3 linked regions of the Caenorhabditis elegans genome follow. The protein of the gene in region 1 interacts with the protein of each later gene in a pairwise test. Each region holds a gene or a part of one and is shown on either strand. Other genes may lie near its edges.

Region 1 (3,644 bases):
GGTTTCTCTGTTTTCTTGTCATATCAATATGGTGAGAATTGACGAATTAAACTAAAGATTTGGGACAAGAATTATGTAATAATACGCTGAAAAAGAAAACGAAAAAAAAAAACAATTTTTCGGTAATTTAAAGGAGCATGAACAATATGTTGTAGATTTTTAATTAAAATCGTTTCAGGACCCATCGCAAAAGTGGTGTGCCCCTTCCAAGGTATATTTTCCATTCTCTGAATTCATAATATTTTGGTAAAGTTATTTTCAACGTAATTTGTATAAAATCTTTTGCGAGTTTCTAGCAAATTTTTACTTTTGCCCCGAAAATACGGTACTCGGTCTCAACACGACAAACTTTGATTAACTTCGAAAAGGGATGCGCCTTTAGGGAGTACTGTAATTTTGTAACATTTTGTTGCCGTAGAATTTTCTATAAATTTAAAGAAAATAGGGAACTAAAAAAAAACCATAAGAAATTGTCGCGTCGAGACCGGTACCGTATTTTCAGCAGAAAAATTGCAATATTTCGCATCTAGATAATAAAACATTTTTACTTAAAAACATCACAAGCTTTATGGACAAATGATTTAGAAATTGATAGCATACTACATGGAAAAATAACAGATAATAAGCGGAATGTAAAAAAGGCTGAAAAATGTCGGTAAAATTATTGTGGAGTGATAGTCGATGTTCCATTTTCAGTGGTTATTTTGAGGAGAGCCCCGGAAGATGGACGGCTCGATGTTTCTGTGGTCCATTTGAGAAGATGTTCAGAGATGAATGAGAGTGGAGTCCAGCTGAAAAAAAAACATAGAAAACTATGCAAAAGAAAAAGAGTAATTTAATTTTACCTTGAATGATCAGCATTTGGCATCCATTTTCTGTTCATTGGGGTGTCCAAAGTGACTGGCATAATTGTCAAAACGGCCGAATTGTCAGGCAATCCCGAATCTTTGGCAGCCAATGAAGATGTCAGATGATGAACTGCAGCTTTTGCCATACCATATCCAATCATTGATGGAGTTGGTCCCATAGCAGCAGCAGCTCCTGTAAGCTGAAGAAGACCTCCCGGCTTGAGGTGAGTGGTGGCCAATTTGGCTGCAATTGCTGAACTCCAGACCTGAAAATTCACGGTAGAATAATACCAGATGTTTAGGATTAATATATGTTACCGATTGTTTGATCATTAAATCAGCATTTTTCACAAAATCTTTTGAAGAAGCGGAGCCTCCAGCCCATCCACCGGCAACACAGAAAACTCCATCAACCTGACTTCCCTGGAGAGATGAAGCAGTTCTGCAAATATTTTATGAGGTTACGGTAGCTTTTTTTTAAATTAAAAATACAACTTACTGCTCGAGAATGGATTGTTCTTGTTCTGTCCAATTTTTATTTCCGTCCACCAAAATATTACTGTCAGCTTGGTCATTGGCACTCAAGTCGATGTTTAGAACAGTCTGAAAATTAATGAAAATTAATTTACAACATCCTAATTCAATTTCTTTTAAAACTTACATAACCATTTTTCTTGAAGAATTCAAGAATAGCAGATCCAAGTGCGCCTTTGCCTCCGTATACGATAACTTTTCCACTGGACATTGTTCGAAACTGCAAGGAAAAAGTAAAGAATGACAATATGGAGGTTGAAGGACAAATTGGCCGCGTGGACGACGTCAAGGACGATTTTAATGTGATACTGGTATCAACGAGTGATCAGAGACACAGATTTTTAATGTTAAATGAGGGAAAACTTGATGGAATTCAGGAAAATAAAGATGAAACAACATTTTGGAAATCGGTTTCCGAGCTTGAACTCGAAACGAACTTTTGTTATCGAGAGTTTTATCAGTTATATTTTTGCAAGAAATTTGGCAGACATATCAATCGATAGCTCTTATTTAGCTCAACAACATTTAATATGAATCACAACAGGAAAATGTGAATTAGCTTCTCAGAATTCGTCAAAACATCGTGGGAAAAAATATAGGAAATTATTTTTTTACAATTGCGCTCTAATGTAGATGGCGAGACATCGTGTGGAAAGGAGAGACGATAGATAACTTTTTCTTTTCATTTAATTCTTTTTCTTGTTTCTATTATTATTTAAATGGTTTCGCATGAACTATTCATTTCAATTTATAAAATAAAATCATATTTAGAGTAAATTTTAAATATTTCAGCTATGAAATGCCATTACGAAGTGCTCGAAGTTGAACGCGACGCTGATGACGATAAAATCAAAAAGAACTACAGAAAACTAGCGCTCAAATGGCATCCCGACAAAAATCCGGATCGCATCGAAGAGTGTACTCAGCAATTTAGGCTTCTTCAAGCTGCGTACGACGTTTTGAGTGATCCACGAGAACGCGAATTTTACGATAGACATAGAGAAAGTATTCTGAAGGGAAAAAATACGGATTTCGAGGAACAATCCACGGATTTGTTCCCCTATTTCACCGCTTCTTGCTATCAAGGATATGAAAACGATAAAAATGTGAGAATGAAATCTAAAAAGTAAATCAAAATTATAAATTACAGGGCTTCTTCACTGTCTACCGGAAAGTCTTCAATATCCTAGTTTCTGAGGAATATGATGCGTACAACGATTCAACAATAGTCTATCCAGAGTTTGGCGACAAGGATACCGATTTGGAGCAAACTGTGAATGGTTTCTACGGTTTTTGGAGCTCTTTTTCGACAACTCGCTCTTTTGCCTGGCTGGATCATTATGATATCACACAGGCTTCAAATCGATTCGAATCACGGCAAATCGATCAGGAAAATAAGAAGTTTAGGGATGTCGGAAAGCAGGAAAGGAACGAGCAAATTAGGGTATGATTGTCCGGAATATTTAATTTTAAATTTAAATTTAACAAAATTTTTCAGAATCTGGTCGCTTTTGTTCGAAAACGTGATCCACGTGTCAAAGCATATAGGGAAATTTTGGAGCAAAAAAAATTGGAAGCACATAAGAAACAAGCTGATAATCGAAAAAAGCAGATCGCCAAAAATCAAGAGTAAGTTCCGAAATTGTGAAAAATAAGGAAAAAATTGAATTTTTCAGGCTAGCCAACTCATATCTGAACGACAAAGAAGCCGAGGCAGCCCGTCTTGCTCATTTGATTGAAGTTAGTCTACAAATGGCCGAGGATTACGATACTTGTAGTGATGAATGTGATGAAGAAGGAGAAGAACTTCCATATTGTGTTGTTTGTAGCAAATCGTTCAAAACTGTGTAAGCAGAATATTATAAAGACGCAGAAAAATGCCATTTTTGAAATGGAGATGCAAGTACGCTTCACGGAAAAATTAAATCGCTCCGCCTCCAAAGTTGGGTCTTGTTAGGCATTGGCTGCAAAACCTTAATTTCAAACGATTTTTGTTTAAAAAAAAGCTTAAAAAATGCACAATAATCGAAACATTGAGAATTGAAAAACGAAAATTATAGATTTATCGGAACTCCTTTAAAAAATTTTTTTTTGATCTTTTAAAATCGAAAAATCTAAATAAAACGTTTAAAAAATGAAAAAAAAGAAGAAAAATTGAAAAATTTGAGGTCATTTTTCTAAAAATCAAATTTTTTGAAATATTGAAAAAATTTTTAAAAAAACATCGAGAATTTTTTTTTCGAATTGGAATGAACCAAAACT
Region 2 (6,972 bases), on another chromosome or scaffold:
AAAAAATGTGGGTCTCGCCACGAAATTTATAGTAATCCTGAGATTTTCGTGGGGAGACCCAGTGAATTTAAACTTTCTCAAAAAAATTTTGTGTTTTCGAATTCAGCTCACTGAGAGCTTTCGAACAAGTATAATCACGGCATACATTGCTCGAACTTGAAAAAAAACGTTGGGTCTCGCCACGAAAAATACAGTAACCCTGGGATTTTCGTGGTGAGACCCAACTCAATTTCAGGCAAAACAGGTCATGATTATACTCATTTGAAAGCTCTCGGTGAGGTAAACTCGAATTTTGCGAAAAATAGAGAAAAATTAAAATTTTTGGAAAATCCTTTGAAAAATTAGTGTTTTCAAAAAAAACTTTTCCAGAAAAAAACTAAAAAACAAACAAATATAAAACTAAAAAAGGCGCGCGCGCCAAAAAAATTCCCAAAAAACACGACGAATTTGCATGACAAATGTGGAAAGGAAAAATGCGCATTTTTCCCGAATTTCGGAGAAGGAGCACCTTGCTGCTCCGGGGAAATCGCGGAGCCATAAAACATGAAATTGAGGGGACTTTTATTACTCGTTTTACTCACTAAAATCACTATTAAACGGGGAACATAAAAACAGGAAAAGTACCTAAAAATGGGGAAAATCTCGAAAAAAAAAGCTCTAAAAATTTTTAAAAATTCCAAAAATTTTGAAAAAAAAATTAGGGGAAAAAAGGCATCGGGGGTCATGAGAATTAGAGAAAAATCGATTTTTTAACGAAAAAAAACAGAAAATTATGCGATATTCAGGCTCTTTTTGACAGCTTTCACGACGTGTTCGGCGGTTGGAAGGGCGGCAGCCTCCAAAGTTTGAGTGTATGGCATTGGAACATCGACTCCGGTGACTCTGGAAAATTTTTTAAGATTTTTAGGAAATTTAGAGCATTTCGGGGGATTTTGGAGCTTATTAGGGAATTTTGTAGAAATTTCTAACGAATTCGGAGCTTTTTCAGAGAATTTAGAGCAATTTCTAACATTTTTTGAGCTTGTTTGAGAAAGTATAGAGTTTATAAAGCGAATTTTGGAGCAATGTATTGTGAGATTGCGGAGGGCTTTTGAAGATTTTATAGAATTTTTCAGAGATTTTGGAGCAACTTTTGAGCAGATTTGGAGCATTTTCGGGATGTTTAGGCTGTTTGGAGCACCTTGGAGCATTTTTGAGAAATTTATAAGCAATTTTCAGAGGTTTTGGAAATTTGTGAAGACTTTCTAAAATTTGAGAGCTTTTTTGTGAAATTTTCAGAGATTTTCGAGGAATTATTCAGCAATTTTGGAGCTTTTTAGGGGAATTTAAAGGATTTTTGAAAATTTGCTAAAACTTTGGAGCAATTTTGAGAAATTTATGAGCTCTATGGGGGTTTTTTCCTGAGATTTTGGAGCATTTTCTCGCATTTTAGAGGTTTTTATTCGGGTTTGGATCATTTTTACAAAAATTTGAAGTGTTTTTCGGGAGTTTTGGAAAATTTTAAAGGATTTTATGCGATTTTTCGCATGTTTCGAAGATTTTCGAGCTATTTTCGAATTTTTCGCTTTTTCTTTAAAAAAGAACAAGAAAAATTCGAAAGAATCACAAATTTTCAGCTGTTTTCCTCATATTTTAGGGTCCTTTTTGTTTTTGTAATGAAATTATAAAATTTTCAGATAATTTCGAGTATTTCCTTCAACTTTTCAGAAAATGTCAAATTTGGAACATTTTAAAGATAAAATTTCAAGTTTTGTGCCATTCTTAGCAGTTATTCATCAAATTTTTAGCATTTTAAGCCATTTTTCGCAAATTTTCTCTTACGGACCTCAAAAGTGGCGCGTCAAGTTGATCGAAAACATCGCTCTCCATAACTTGAGCAGCAATTTCTGAGCCAATTCCAGCAAATGGCCATCCAGTCTCAACAGACACCAAATGATGAGTCTTATGAACTGATTGACGAATCGATTCGAAATCAAATGGACGAAGTGAGCGAAGATTAATAACTTCTGCTGAAACTCCGATAGCTTCAAGCTGTTTTGCAGCTTCCAGTGAAAATTCAACTCCACGTGAATACGAGACAATTGTTACGTGATCACCAGCTCTTTCGATCTTTGCCTTGCCAATTGGAACCACGAAATCATCGGAAAGAACCTCGTCGCCGACTGGGAACGATTGTCCATAGAGAATCTCGTTTTCCAGGAAGACAACTGCAAAAAATTCGAATTTTTCCCGAAAAATTGAATTTAGGAGAATATTATAAATTTTCGCAGAATTTTCGGCCAAAACTGAAAAAAAACTGGTTTTCAGATATTTTCCTATAGAATTTTTAATTTTTTTTGGATTTTTTCCTGAAAAACTGCTAAATTTGCACAATATTTTTCGAAATTTAGATTTTACAATGTAAATCTCCGGAAAAAAAGTAAAAAAAAAACATTTTTGAATGAAAAAACTAAACAAAAACCGACTTTTCTCAAATTTTTGATGAAAATAGCGCCGATTTTTTGATTCGGGGTTACTGTAGCGTCAAAAGCACGCAAACATTGGTGTTCGGAAAACCATTTTTCACAAGAAAATCGTTAAAAACTCAAAAAATGAATTAAAAATTCAAATTTGCCACCTTTTAATCAGTCTAAACTGAAATTTTCAGCCAAAAAGCTCCCAATTTCGTAAAATATGGTGTTTGCGTACTTTTGGAGCTACAGTAACCCGGAAAATTTCAAGAAACCGCTTAATTTGATCCTAAAATTTCGAAAATATCAGAAGTTTTCCAGTTGTCACGGTTGTTGACTGAAATTTTCTGGAAAATCTGAATTTTGCATCGAAAATCTCCAATTTTCGCGACAAGTACCCGGATTATCGTCACGAATCGCAGCTTTCAGGAGTCCCTTCGCATCTTCAGCACTGTACGGACAGACAACCTTCAGTCCTGGACAATGAGCATACCAAGCTGAAAAGTCTTGAGAATGCTGAGCAGCAACTCCGGCGGCGGCTCCATTTGGTCCACGGAATACGATTGGGACGGGTACCTGGAAAATAAATTTTCTCGATTTTTTTCTTCAGATATTACAAAATCTCTACAATTTTCGTTTTCAAATGTTTCTTCAATGATTTTATAAATATCATTTTCTCCGGTATTTTTCTTGGAAAAGCGGTGTTTTCAGAAAAAAAAACAAGAAAAAAAAACTTTAAAAGTTATAAATTCCCTATATTTTCTCAGTTTTGGACCGATTTTCCGAAAAAAAATTTCCAATTTCTGATAAAATTCACTGATCAGAAAGTGTTCAGTGATAAGAATTCTTATCAGTTGATGATTTTTACAAATTTTTTCTTATCAAAATGGCGTGAGACCATGTGAAAAACATGATTTTTCAGCATAAATTCAACGAAAATGGCTGAAAAAATGAAATTTTCAGTGAAAAGTCGAGAAAAATCGGATTTTAAAGCTAAAATCAGCTCTGTTGAGGTAAAATTTGTGTAGAAATTTCAGAAAAACCCTGATTTTCAGTCAAAAATCTAGAAAAATCGCATTTTTTGTATCAGAAATTGACTTTTTCCTGAAAAATCAGTGTAAACCGAGGAATTTCGTTCTAAAAATAGCAGAAAGCGTGATTTCTCACGAATTAGTCAAAAATTTGGTGAAAATCTTCAATTTTTCGGCTATTTTTTCGCTGAAAATCGCAATTTCCAGAAAACGTGGCACATTGCCAAGACCGTACCCTTCCGGCGGACATATAATATGTTTTTGCGGCTGAATTAATAATCTGATCGATGGCTTGCATGGAAAAATTGAATGTCATGAACTCGCAAATTGGACGGAGCCCGGCGAAGGCAGCACCGACGGCGATTCCTGAAAAAAATGTGATTTTTTTGGAGGAATTTTCAGTTTTTTCTGAAAAAATTTTGCTAAAAATTGAATAAATCGAGAAAAATGCGAAAATTCGAGCTTTTTAGACAATTTTTGCTGAAAAATTGAATTTGCGCGGTCTTAGAGCTTTTCTGCAAATAACATTGGGAAAAATCTGATTTTTATATAAAAAATGTGATTTTTCAGCTTAATTTTCGACAAAATTTTGATAAAACCGGAATTTTCTGCGAAAAATATCAAAACTCCGTAATTTCCGAGCTTTTTGCAGTGAATATTGAAATTTTCAATAAAAAATGCCGAAAATTAATTGTTTTTAGGAAAATTTCCGAAATTTGTTCGAAAAATCCAATTTTTAGTGTAAAAACTGAACTTTTGAGAGAAAAGATCCAAAATTAAAGTAAATTTGGACACTTTCTTTTCGAAAAAATGGTGCTGTTTTTGGGGATTTATTAGTGATTTTGACGTTCCGAGTCAACATTTCTCGATTTTTCTCGATTTCCAGCGTGATTTCCCGTACCAGCGAATCCCATTTCAGTAATTGGAGTGTCGACGACTCGCTTATCACCGTGCTTCTTCCACAATCCCTTGGAAATCTTGTAAGCTCCGTCGTACTGAGCAACTTCTTCTCCCATCAGGAAAACTCGGTCGTCACGTTTGATTTCCTCGTCCATAGCCTGATTTAGGGCGTCACGGACGGTCATTGCTGAAAAAATTGGCGATTTTTATGCTTTTTTAGGTTAAAATTCGTTTTTTCCGTTCAATTCTTCATTTTTAGCCGGTAATCAGCGATTTTTTCGTTTTTTTTCCATTCATTTTTTGCAATTTCTACTCACTGGAAGCCGCTCTGGTCGAGGTGCCAGCGAGACGAGCCACGAACAGGTTTCCACACTTTCTCAGAGCCATTTCGACCGGGGATTACCTGAAAAACCGGAAATTAATTGAAATTTTGAGGCTTTTGCCGGAAATTTTGAGAAAAATAGAGAAAAACTAGGATTTTTTAAAAAATTTAGGTATTTTGATTCAAAATTCTCACATTTTCATTAGTTTTTCTGCTGAGCATATTGTTTTAATGCTAAAAACTCAAAATTTAGACCAAAACCCTTCCAAATAGAATTTTACTGGTTTCTAGGGTTTTTCACTACGATTTTTCACATTTTCACCACTAAAACAGGCGGAAATCGATAATTTAAACCATATTTCCCCCGATTTTAATAAAAAATCAATGAAAGATGCGCAAAAAAGCAAACAAAACTCGGAGAAAATGCGCGCGGCGCTCCTCTCGAAAAATGTGTGCAATATGGCGTCGCGGTGTTTGCGTACAAAACGCCGGTTGAGCTGCAGAAGCTCGTCGACCGTAGTCTTTGGGGTGTTTGCAGGGAGTTTCTATGGGAACGGAGGAAATATTGAATGGGGGAATAGGCAGGCAATTGTTGAGAAGAGAAGTTTCAATTGAATTCTGCACGAAAAATGTCGTATCGTGAGCTGAGAAGTAAGTTTTTAAGGCTTTTTTAATTTTAAATTTGAACTTTGAGATTTTCATATGGAAAAAATAAGTGTTGCATTAAAATCTAGGTGAGAAATGTTTCTAAACCATAAAACGCAAAAAAAAGACCCAAAATACACTTAAAATTGAATTTTACAAAATCATGGCCGAGTTCGGATTCTAGTCCCAAATTTCGCCAACTTCAGACCTGTGTGAGATGACGCGAAGCCTCCGATACCCTCGCTTGATGTCAATTGAGAATTTCCGGACCCCAAATTTTCAGCTGGTGGCTGAATTGCTGGAATGGATCGTGAAAAAGTTAGTTTCCCAGTGAAAAAAATCGTTGGCCGAAAAATATAGAAACTTTGGCCACTAACTTCCAAGCCTACTCTAAGCCCAAAAATTCCAGATTTGAGCCCGAATCCAACCTTGACGCACACGAAGTCCAAACAGAAGCTGATCGGGTCGCTTTCATCAAGAACGCGGTACTCCTGATGCTCCAAAATTCGAGAATCAAGATGAATCCAAAAAAGTTGTACCAGGCTGATGGTCATGCGGTGCAGGAACTCCTACCGGCCATGAAGATCCTCTACCAGGCCAAGGCAGAGGACCCGAACACTGATAACTCGCCAAAATGGACCCAAGTCAAGAATAAGCTCTCGTCGAAGGTGGGTCTCACAGGCCACCAGCCTGAAAAAGCCTGAAAAAACTGTCGAAAGTTCAGATGCAGGAGGTCCGAATCACTCGTCAGCTATCATCACAACTCCCGGAAACAGGTGCCCTGCTCAGTGAGCTGCTGTCCCGGCAGGAGTTCATATCTCAGCAACACGAGAGAGCCGCGTCACGGGCGGTACCACTTGCTGAGGCCGAGAAGGTGCTGCAGGCAACAGTGCAGAACATCGCTCAGGAGACTGAGCAGCTATCGGTAAGCTTGACGGGTCACGGAGCTCCTGGTGGCGTAGGTTTGAGCTCTGGCGTCTTAGAGTTTGAGAGATTGGCCTGGCTCGATCCTGATTGTGAAGCGGACAGTAAAAAGCTTGGACTTCTTCTAATGGCGTGGGCTTGGTCAAAGAGTGACTTGAACTTTGATTCAGACTTTGAAGCTTCATTACCTGAACTCTAGTGGTATATGCAGGGCTTCAAGCCACTAGACCGGGCCTGTGCATCTTCTCCAGAAGCTCAGAGACCCCTAGCCTCGAGGAGTCCGCTGAGGATCTTGGAGCTGAAGGAATAGACTGAATTAGCCTAACTGGCTTGAAGCAACACCCACTCCACTCGAACCCACGTGATTGTTCTTAAAGCCCGGAGGGTCTGAGTCACTTACAATTAGGTTAGGTGCAGGCTCCCCAGCTAACCTCTCAAATTTTCAGAACAAGCTGAACAACGTGGCCAGCGATGAGGCAGAGCTCGACGAGAAGATAGAGCGAAAGAAGCGAGAGTACGAGCAGTTGCAAAAAAGATTCGCAAAGCTACAGTCCTTCCGACCTCAGTATATGGACGAGTACGAGCGGTTTGAGGAGCGACTGAAGAAACTTTATGAGGTAAGACACCGGATACCGAGCTGCCCTGTGAAGCCTAAGCTTCCAGGTCTACGTGCTGAACTTCCGCAACCTGTCCTATCTGC
Region 3 (6,625 bases), on another chromosome or scaffold:
AATCGAGCTCCCACGAATTCAGGAGTTTGTGAGGTGTCGTTCCAGTAATTATGAACACTCCAGGACATCGTGTTTATTACCTTCTTAAGATATGGAAATTTCTTTCTAAGCGCATCCATTGGGTACATGAGACCTCCGTAACGATTCAGTCGTGGGATGTGTCCTTGACTGTTCTCACCCGGCAACGGGATCGAGTCCACTTCCAGATTGTTCGATGTCGCCTCAATTTCCGACTCTGGAGGAATGAATCCGCCACTCACAAGCTCTTCGATTCGGTTACGCTCTCTCTCCAGTTCACCCATATAATCAGCCATTTCACGTTGATTTTCCAAAAATGCAATGTAGGCTTTCGGGTGGGAATCTCTGAGATGTCGCTCGAGAAGGCTCATCTCACCGAAACGATTTTTGCAGACTTTGCATCGGAACATGCTTTTACGGACGGCATTTCGAATTTCATCGATGCTCAGTGAGGACGCAGGAACCATGTTGAGATCCGGAGCACAAAAGTCTTGCTGCTCTGAAAATTATAAATTTTCTTTTTTTCCAAATATTGGTTCAAAATTGGACTCAAAATTGCCTAAAAATACCGAATTTCATGATGAAACTTCTTGAAAACTTCTCAAAAAAAAGTTATGACGGCTCAAAAACTGGCCTAAAATTAGTTAAAATTTGAAATTTGACTTGTCAGCGCTGCCAGCTGGAAACTAATATTTTTGAAATCACCGTCAAATTTTGAGTATTTTATGTAATTATCTTTCGTTTTTAACTCTGATTTAGGTATTTTAAAGTCGATGAACGGCGAGATTTTTAAATTTTTTTAAACCAAATCTCGCGGTCCATCGACTTTAAAATACCGAAATCGTGTTGAAAACGCAAGATAATTACATTTTATACCCAAAATTTGACGGTGATTTCAAAAACAAAAATTGTTTCCAGCTGACAGCGCTGACAAGTAAAATTTTAAGTTTTAACTACTTTTAGGCCATTTTTTGAGCCGTCATAACTTGTTTTTGGGAAGTTTTCAAGTTTCATTATATAAATCGGTGTTTTCAGACAATTTCGAGTCTACTCCACCTTTAAATGACAAATTTCTGAAATCCTTACTTTGTCGAACTATACACTTGTCAAGTTCGGCAGATGGATCGATGAAATTCAGTGCAGCTCGGTTTTCGCGAAGCTTTTTGATTGGTCTTCCATCCCCGCCGAGAATGATTCGTTCTTTATGAATTTTCGGCGGATTTCTGAGGCTCGCAAGAAGCTCGCCGACTCCGGTGAGCTTTTTTCGTGGGCAACACACGTCATTTCTTCCAGAATCGTTGGCTTCAGCTACTGTTTCCTTTTTCATGCATTCTTGAAGGAAGTGCTCTTGAATACGACGAATCTGTTGAGCATCCTGAGCGTTGAATGATGCAATAATCTGCTGTTCCTTTTCGTCTTGGCAATCCCTATGTTCCGCATGATCATCTTCCGAGACTGCATCTATCAAGAAATCATTAGAAGAGAATAATACAAGAGAAATAAATATCAAATAGTGATAATAACTAGGTTTCTTGGAACCAAATATAGAAATCAAGTTAACAAAATTTCGTTATTTTTGTTTTTTTATTAGGTTAACAATAGAAAAAAATATAATGATTACGTGAATCTTCACGATCGACAATCTCCGGCGCCTTCATTGTTTCTCGTTGCTTGTCCTGATTGTTCCTGTAATTAATTGCATTATTGAAGGAAATTTTAAGATTTCAAATAACGAAATTGAACACGGGTCTGGAAAAATAGAGGCGAAACGAAGAAATATGAACATTTCGAAATAATGCAACAATCTCATGTGACTCCTGATGAAGAGGGTATTTGAAGTGCAAAATAGAGCGCAAGTGCACTTTTTTAATTTTTCTCTTAAAAATAGCTATTTTTGTTTAATTCTAGAGTTTTAATTATAAAAAGAAAAGCAAAATTCAATAAAGGTTCTCTTCGAAAAAATAAATTGTTCGGGTGGATTTACGGTAAACAAGGCGCATTGCGTTAAGGCGGAGTGTCGTTGTGCTCGGGTCTCGCAGCGAAAGTCACCTACAGTAACCCAGAATTTTAGGATGACCGCGATTTTCAATTTCGTTTTTTCTTTTCGCGTTTTTTCGCGGAAATGTTTGTTTTTGATGCTCGTTTTGTGTTTTTGTGTTGTATTTTTGTTGCTTTTTTCGCATTTTTCTATACGTTAAGTCTTATTTCGTCTTGAATTTTAAATTTACAGGTAATAGTTACAAAATCGAGAAGGATGCCAGCTCTTCCTCCAGTCTACACGCCTTCTGGAGCTCCATCGAGCGTCCACGCACCACCTGCCGTTCCACCAGTTCCAGTTCCGACTCAACCGTTAAGATCGGAGTATCAAACGTCTAACGACGCTTGCATCAAGAGACTGGAAGAGCTTAATGTACGTTTAGTTTAATTGATTTTTTTTTCAAACCTAATTTGTTAAATTTCAGATTGCTCCTGCTGCAAAGCTCTATCCAACACCTACTGAACCAGGAAAGTGTGGCGTCGAGGCCGAAATACAGACCAACGTATTCGGAATCGAGATGCACCAGGATTCGTTGTTCTATCAGTACAGCGTGAACATCACGACGGAGCTGAAAAACGGGAAAGAAGTTACCTTCACTAAGAAGGGGAAGGATGAGTGAGTTTACCACATGATTTATATTTTTCTCATAATATGTTCCAGCTTCGTCGTTACTGAGAGACACGACAAGTGCTGTGCGATTCTGTTCCGCGCGCTGGGTGACTATGAGGAGTTCTTCAAAACGTCTGATAGCTGCCTCATCTACGATGGTCAAAGCATTCTGTTCTCAAACGTGGATCTTTTCCAAGGGTTCAGAGAAGGCGCAGTAAAGGTAAATAAATTAAATCTCGGCCAATGTTATTCCGAATATTTCAGACCAAGTACATGCAGCTTGATGGCGGAGAAATGGATCATAAGGATCTCAAATCGTTGCCGTGTATTAAGCTGGAGGTGTTCCCGACTAAAAACCCAGCGGTCAAGTTCACACGAGAAGCCGTAGCAAGACGAGCAACGGACTCAAACCTCGATTCTGTCAGCTTGGCTTACCAACAGATCCTGGAACTCGCTCTCACTCAACCATGTCTTCGCAACACTGCGAGATACGTTGTTTTCGATCATGGAAAAATGTTTTTCATTGATCCACTCGGTGAAGGATTCGAGAAATGCGACGTTGTGGACGTTGGGGATGGGAAGCAAGTTGTACCAGGACTCAAGAAGACGATCAACTTCATCGAAGGACCCTACGGCAGAGGACGGAGTAATCCATCAGTTGTCATTGACGGTTGGTATTCAAAATAGTAATATCATAGTTATTTCTTGTTTTTCAGGGATGAAGGTCGCTTTCCATAAGAATCAGCCAATTCTCGACAAACTGAAGGAGATAACTACGCAGCCTGTGGAACACGGCCTGAAGGGACTCGAAAAGGACCGCTGCGCAGCCGTCATCAAAGGGCTCGACTGCTATTCTACATATGGCGGTCGTGAACGTCATCACAAGATCGAGGGAATCCATCACGAAGGGGCTCGAAATGCTCGTTTCGAGCTCAACGACGGTGGAAGCTGCACTGTAGCTCAATATTTCGAAGACGTATACAACATCACTCTTCGCTATCCAGACACAAATCTCATCGTTTCCAAGGAGAGAGGAAATATAAACTTCTACCCGATGGAATTGTTGAAGATCAGCTCTCATCAACGCGTTCAGATCCCGCAGCTAACCAGTGCCCAGAGTCAGAAGACAACGAAGGAAAGTGCTGTTTTACCTGACGTTCGCCAGCGTCTGATCTTGACGGGAAAAAATGCGGCGCAAATCTCATCGGACAACGAGGTTCTCGGTAAAATGGGCGTCTCGGTGTGCGAAGATCCGCTCATGGTCAAAGGACGCTCAATTCCTGCGGTGAAGTTGGCAAACGCTGAAATTGGAGCCAATCCAATCAATGTCAAGGACAACAAGTGGCGTGCCAACCGCTTCACTCGACCAGCCACGGCGCCGAATGTGTGGGCGATGTATGTTGTCGGTACCGCATCAACTCGCATAACTTTGGATACTCTGAAGTAAGACTGGCAATATAGTTTCATATCTCATTTTTTTCGTTTCAGGAAATTCGCAGATGAGTTCGCGGCTATGTGCAAGTCAAAAGGTGTCAACATGCCTGCTCCTGCTGACATTTCGCTCATCCATATGGATGCCATCGAGAGTCGTCTGTACGACGCAACGAAAGCCAATTGCACATTCGTTTTCATCATAACGGATGATTCAATCACTACACTCCATCGTATGTTACATTGTTTATTATATTTGTCCATATTTCCGTCTTTCAGAGCGTTACAAAATGATTGAGAAGGATACGAAGATGATCGTTCAAGACATGAAGCTATCCAAGGCGTTGAGTGTTATCAATGCAGGAAAGAGGCTAACTCTCGAGAACGTGATCAACAAGACCAATGTGAAGTTGGGAGGTTCCAACTATGTTTTCGTGGACGCCAAGAAGTACCAGATTTTTTTTTGCGAAATTTATATTCATTTATTATTCCTTCAGGCAGCTCGACTCTCATCTGATCATCGGAGTTGGGATTTCCGCCCCACCTGCTGGAACCAAGTATGCCATGGAGAACAAAGGAGTTCTAAACCCCAATGTCATCGGCTATGCGTACAATGCACAGCACAATCAGGAGTTCAGTGGAGACTTCGTGTTAAACTCTGCCAGCCAAGATGTGAGTTTCCATTTAAGAATATTCTCATCCGATTTGATTTCAGACTCTTGCGCCGATTGAGGATATTGTGATGCACTCGCTCAACGAATACCAGAAGTTTCATGATGGCGGTCTTCCGAGACGCGTCATTGTCTACCGAACAGGAACAAGCGAGGGAAATCATGGATCAATCATGGCCTACGAGATTCCTCTTGCTCGTGCTGCTATGAGAGATTTCTCACCTGATATTCAACTTGTATACATTGTGGTGTCAAAGGATCACAGCTTCAGATTCTTCAAGCCCGATTTGGTTAGTAGTTTTGCATCAAAATAACTTTGTATATTTTCAGGCAAGTCTAGCTTCCCGTCCACAAGCGACTTCCAGCACCGCAAGCAGGCATTCTGCAATGCCAGCCGCCCCAAAAGCATGGGATCTGAATATTGCACCCGGTATTTTGGTCGATTCCATCGTGACAAATCCGGCTTGCAAGCAGTTTTTCCTGAATTCCCACATCACTCTGCAAGGAACTGCGAAGACTCCATTGTACACAGTTCTCGCCGATGACGCCAAAGTCAGCATGACAGCTTTGGAGGATATCACGTACAAGCTGTGCCATCTTCACCAGATCGTTGGACTTCCGACGTCGCTTCCAACTCCATTGTACGTCGCCAACGAGTACGCCAAGAGAGGACGCAATCTGTGGAACGAGGCAGTGTAAGTTTTGCATTAGCGGATTCTTTGGAAAAATGTTTTTGTTTTCAGGGCCTTGAACAACGTTCCAACTGTTTCTGGCCCGGAAGCAGATCGTCTCAAGGAGTTGACCAAGAGCATCTGCTACAAAGCGTCCGGAGATCTCACGGGTCGTCGTGTCAACGCATGATCACTTTCAACAAGGCAAACTTTGTTTCTTTAACCACCTCAACCCTTCCCTGCTGTTCCATTATTTCCTTGTCCCTATTGCAATTGTTTTTGAACAACTAATAACCCTTTCCCACCTGTACCATTTCACATTGTTACTCTTACACCACGTTTATAACCGCATAGTTTTCCCAATGTATTAATATTGCCCATTCTTGTTATATCATACTTATATTGTCCCCTGTTATTCACTTCCCTTGTCAAATATTTCCTTTTTTCAGCAACTTGTCATCGCAATTTCTTTTCTCGTTGAAATTACGCTGACAAGTGTGCTCTGTGGCCTTTTTCTTTTTTTTTTTCATTTGTTTTCTTGTACTAACTTCTCGAAACATCAGAAGATGTTTCGAGAATTTAGTTTTGAATACTAATATAGGCACTGAAAACTTAATAAAAGTTGATAGCCGTCGAAATTGGTTTTTGTTCTATTTTTGAATTTTCCGGGTCGGCTTGGCATCAGGGATGTTCAAGAAATTTTTTTTTGCAAGAAACAAGAAATTTGCATAAAACATTGCAAGAAAAAGCGCAAAAAATGAAAGAAATTTCAAGACATGGAAAACAGTTAAACTTTTTTCAAATGTTAAGATATAGGTTAAAGTAGTCGATTATAAATACGATTTAACCTAATAGGCGACTCCTGGAAGTAAGTTTCAGCCGAAAACTATGAAATTATTGCAATTTCCAAATTTCTACGATTTGTCAAATTTCCATGTCCAATTTTTAACGATTTGAAACATTTTTCCAGCTTTCTAAACGTTTTTTATCCAAAATCCTATATAAAATTTTTATATTTCCATAGAACTTCCTCCATCTTGTACTGATTTTTCTCGAAATAAACCTGAAAATCAAAAAAAAATTTCTTGCACTTTTCTTGCAAAAAAATATTGCAAGAAATGGAAGCAAGAAATGCAAGAAATCAAGAAACAAGAAATTTGCATCCCTGCTTGGCATGCAATTATAAT

The links.
Region 2: the proteins of qdpr-1 (region 1) and pdhb-1 interact in a two-hybrid assay, tested with the Caenorhabditis elegans proteins (one large-scale study listed by BioGRID).
Region 3: the proteins of qdpr-1 (region 1) and wago-4 interact in a two-hybrid assay, tested with the Caenorhabditis elegans proteins (one large-scale study listed by BioGRID).

Annotation. Positions count from the first base shown.
Region 1 is NC_003281.10:13,391,868-13,395,511, reverse strand, and holds qdpr-1 (Dihydropteridine reductase), read right to left. Parts: upstream 1,603-3,644; 5' UTR 1,594-1,602; coding exon 1,510-1,593; intron 1,452-1,509; coding exon 1,348-1,451; intron 1,291-1,347; coding exon 1,167-1,290; intron 1,115-1,166; coding exon 846-1,114; intron 792-845; coding exon 662-791; 3' UTR 533-661; downstream 1-532. Other genes in the region: dnj-17 (DnaJ homolog subfamily C member 21), read left to right, coding at 2,177-2,488, 2,533-2,826, 2,881-3,011, 3,059-3,229.
Region 2 is NC_003282.8:3,397,484-3,404,455, reverse strand, and holds pdhb-1 (Pyruvate dehydrogenase E1 component subunit beta, mitochondrial), read right to left. Parts: upstream 4,785-6,972; 5' UTR 4,769-4,784; coding exon 4,699-4,768; intron 4,569-4,698; coding exon 4,383-4,568; intron 3,848-4,382; coding exon 3,717-3,847; intron 3,027-3,716; coding exon 2,849-3,026; intron 2,208-2,848; coding exon 1,826-2,207; intron 883-1,825; coding exon 771-882; 3' UTR 553-770; downstream 1-552. Other genes in the region: dyf-3 (Clusterin-associated protein 1 homolog), read left to right, coding at 5,333-5,354, 5,555-5,666, 5,758-6,016, 6,073-6,273, 6,719-6,889, 6,936-6,972. UniProt on the Caenorhabditis elegans protein: The pyruvate dehydrogenase complex catalyzes the overall conversion of pyruvate to acetyl-CoA and CO(2).
Region 3 is NC_003280.10:12,917,305-12,923,929, forward strand, and holds wago-4 (Argonaute protein wago-4), read left to right. Parts: upstream 1-2,246; 5' UTR 2,247-2,272; coding exon 2,273-2,428; intron 2,429-2,480; coding exon 2,481-2,671; intron 2,672-2,716; coding exon 2,717-2,885; intron 2,886-2,929; coding exon 2,930-3,335; intron 3,336-3,381; coding exon 3,382-4,108; intron 4,109-4,153; coding exon 4,154-4,329; intron 4,330-4,375; coding exon 4,376-4,544; intron 4,545-4,593; coding exon 4,594-4,768; intron 4,769-4,811; coding exon 4,812-5,057; intron 5,058-5,097; coding exon 5,098-5,462; intron 5,463-5,510; coding exon 5,511-5,628; 3' UTR 5,629-6,073; downstream 6,074-6,625. Other genes in the region: F58G1.2 (C2H2-type domain-containing protein), read right to left, coding at 81-517, 1,105-1,473, 1,640-1,676. UniProt on the Caenorhabditis elegans protein: Argonaute protein which is involved in the endogenous small interfering RNA (endo-siRNA) pathway and is required for RNA-mediated gene silencing (RNAi) in the germline.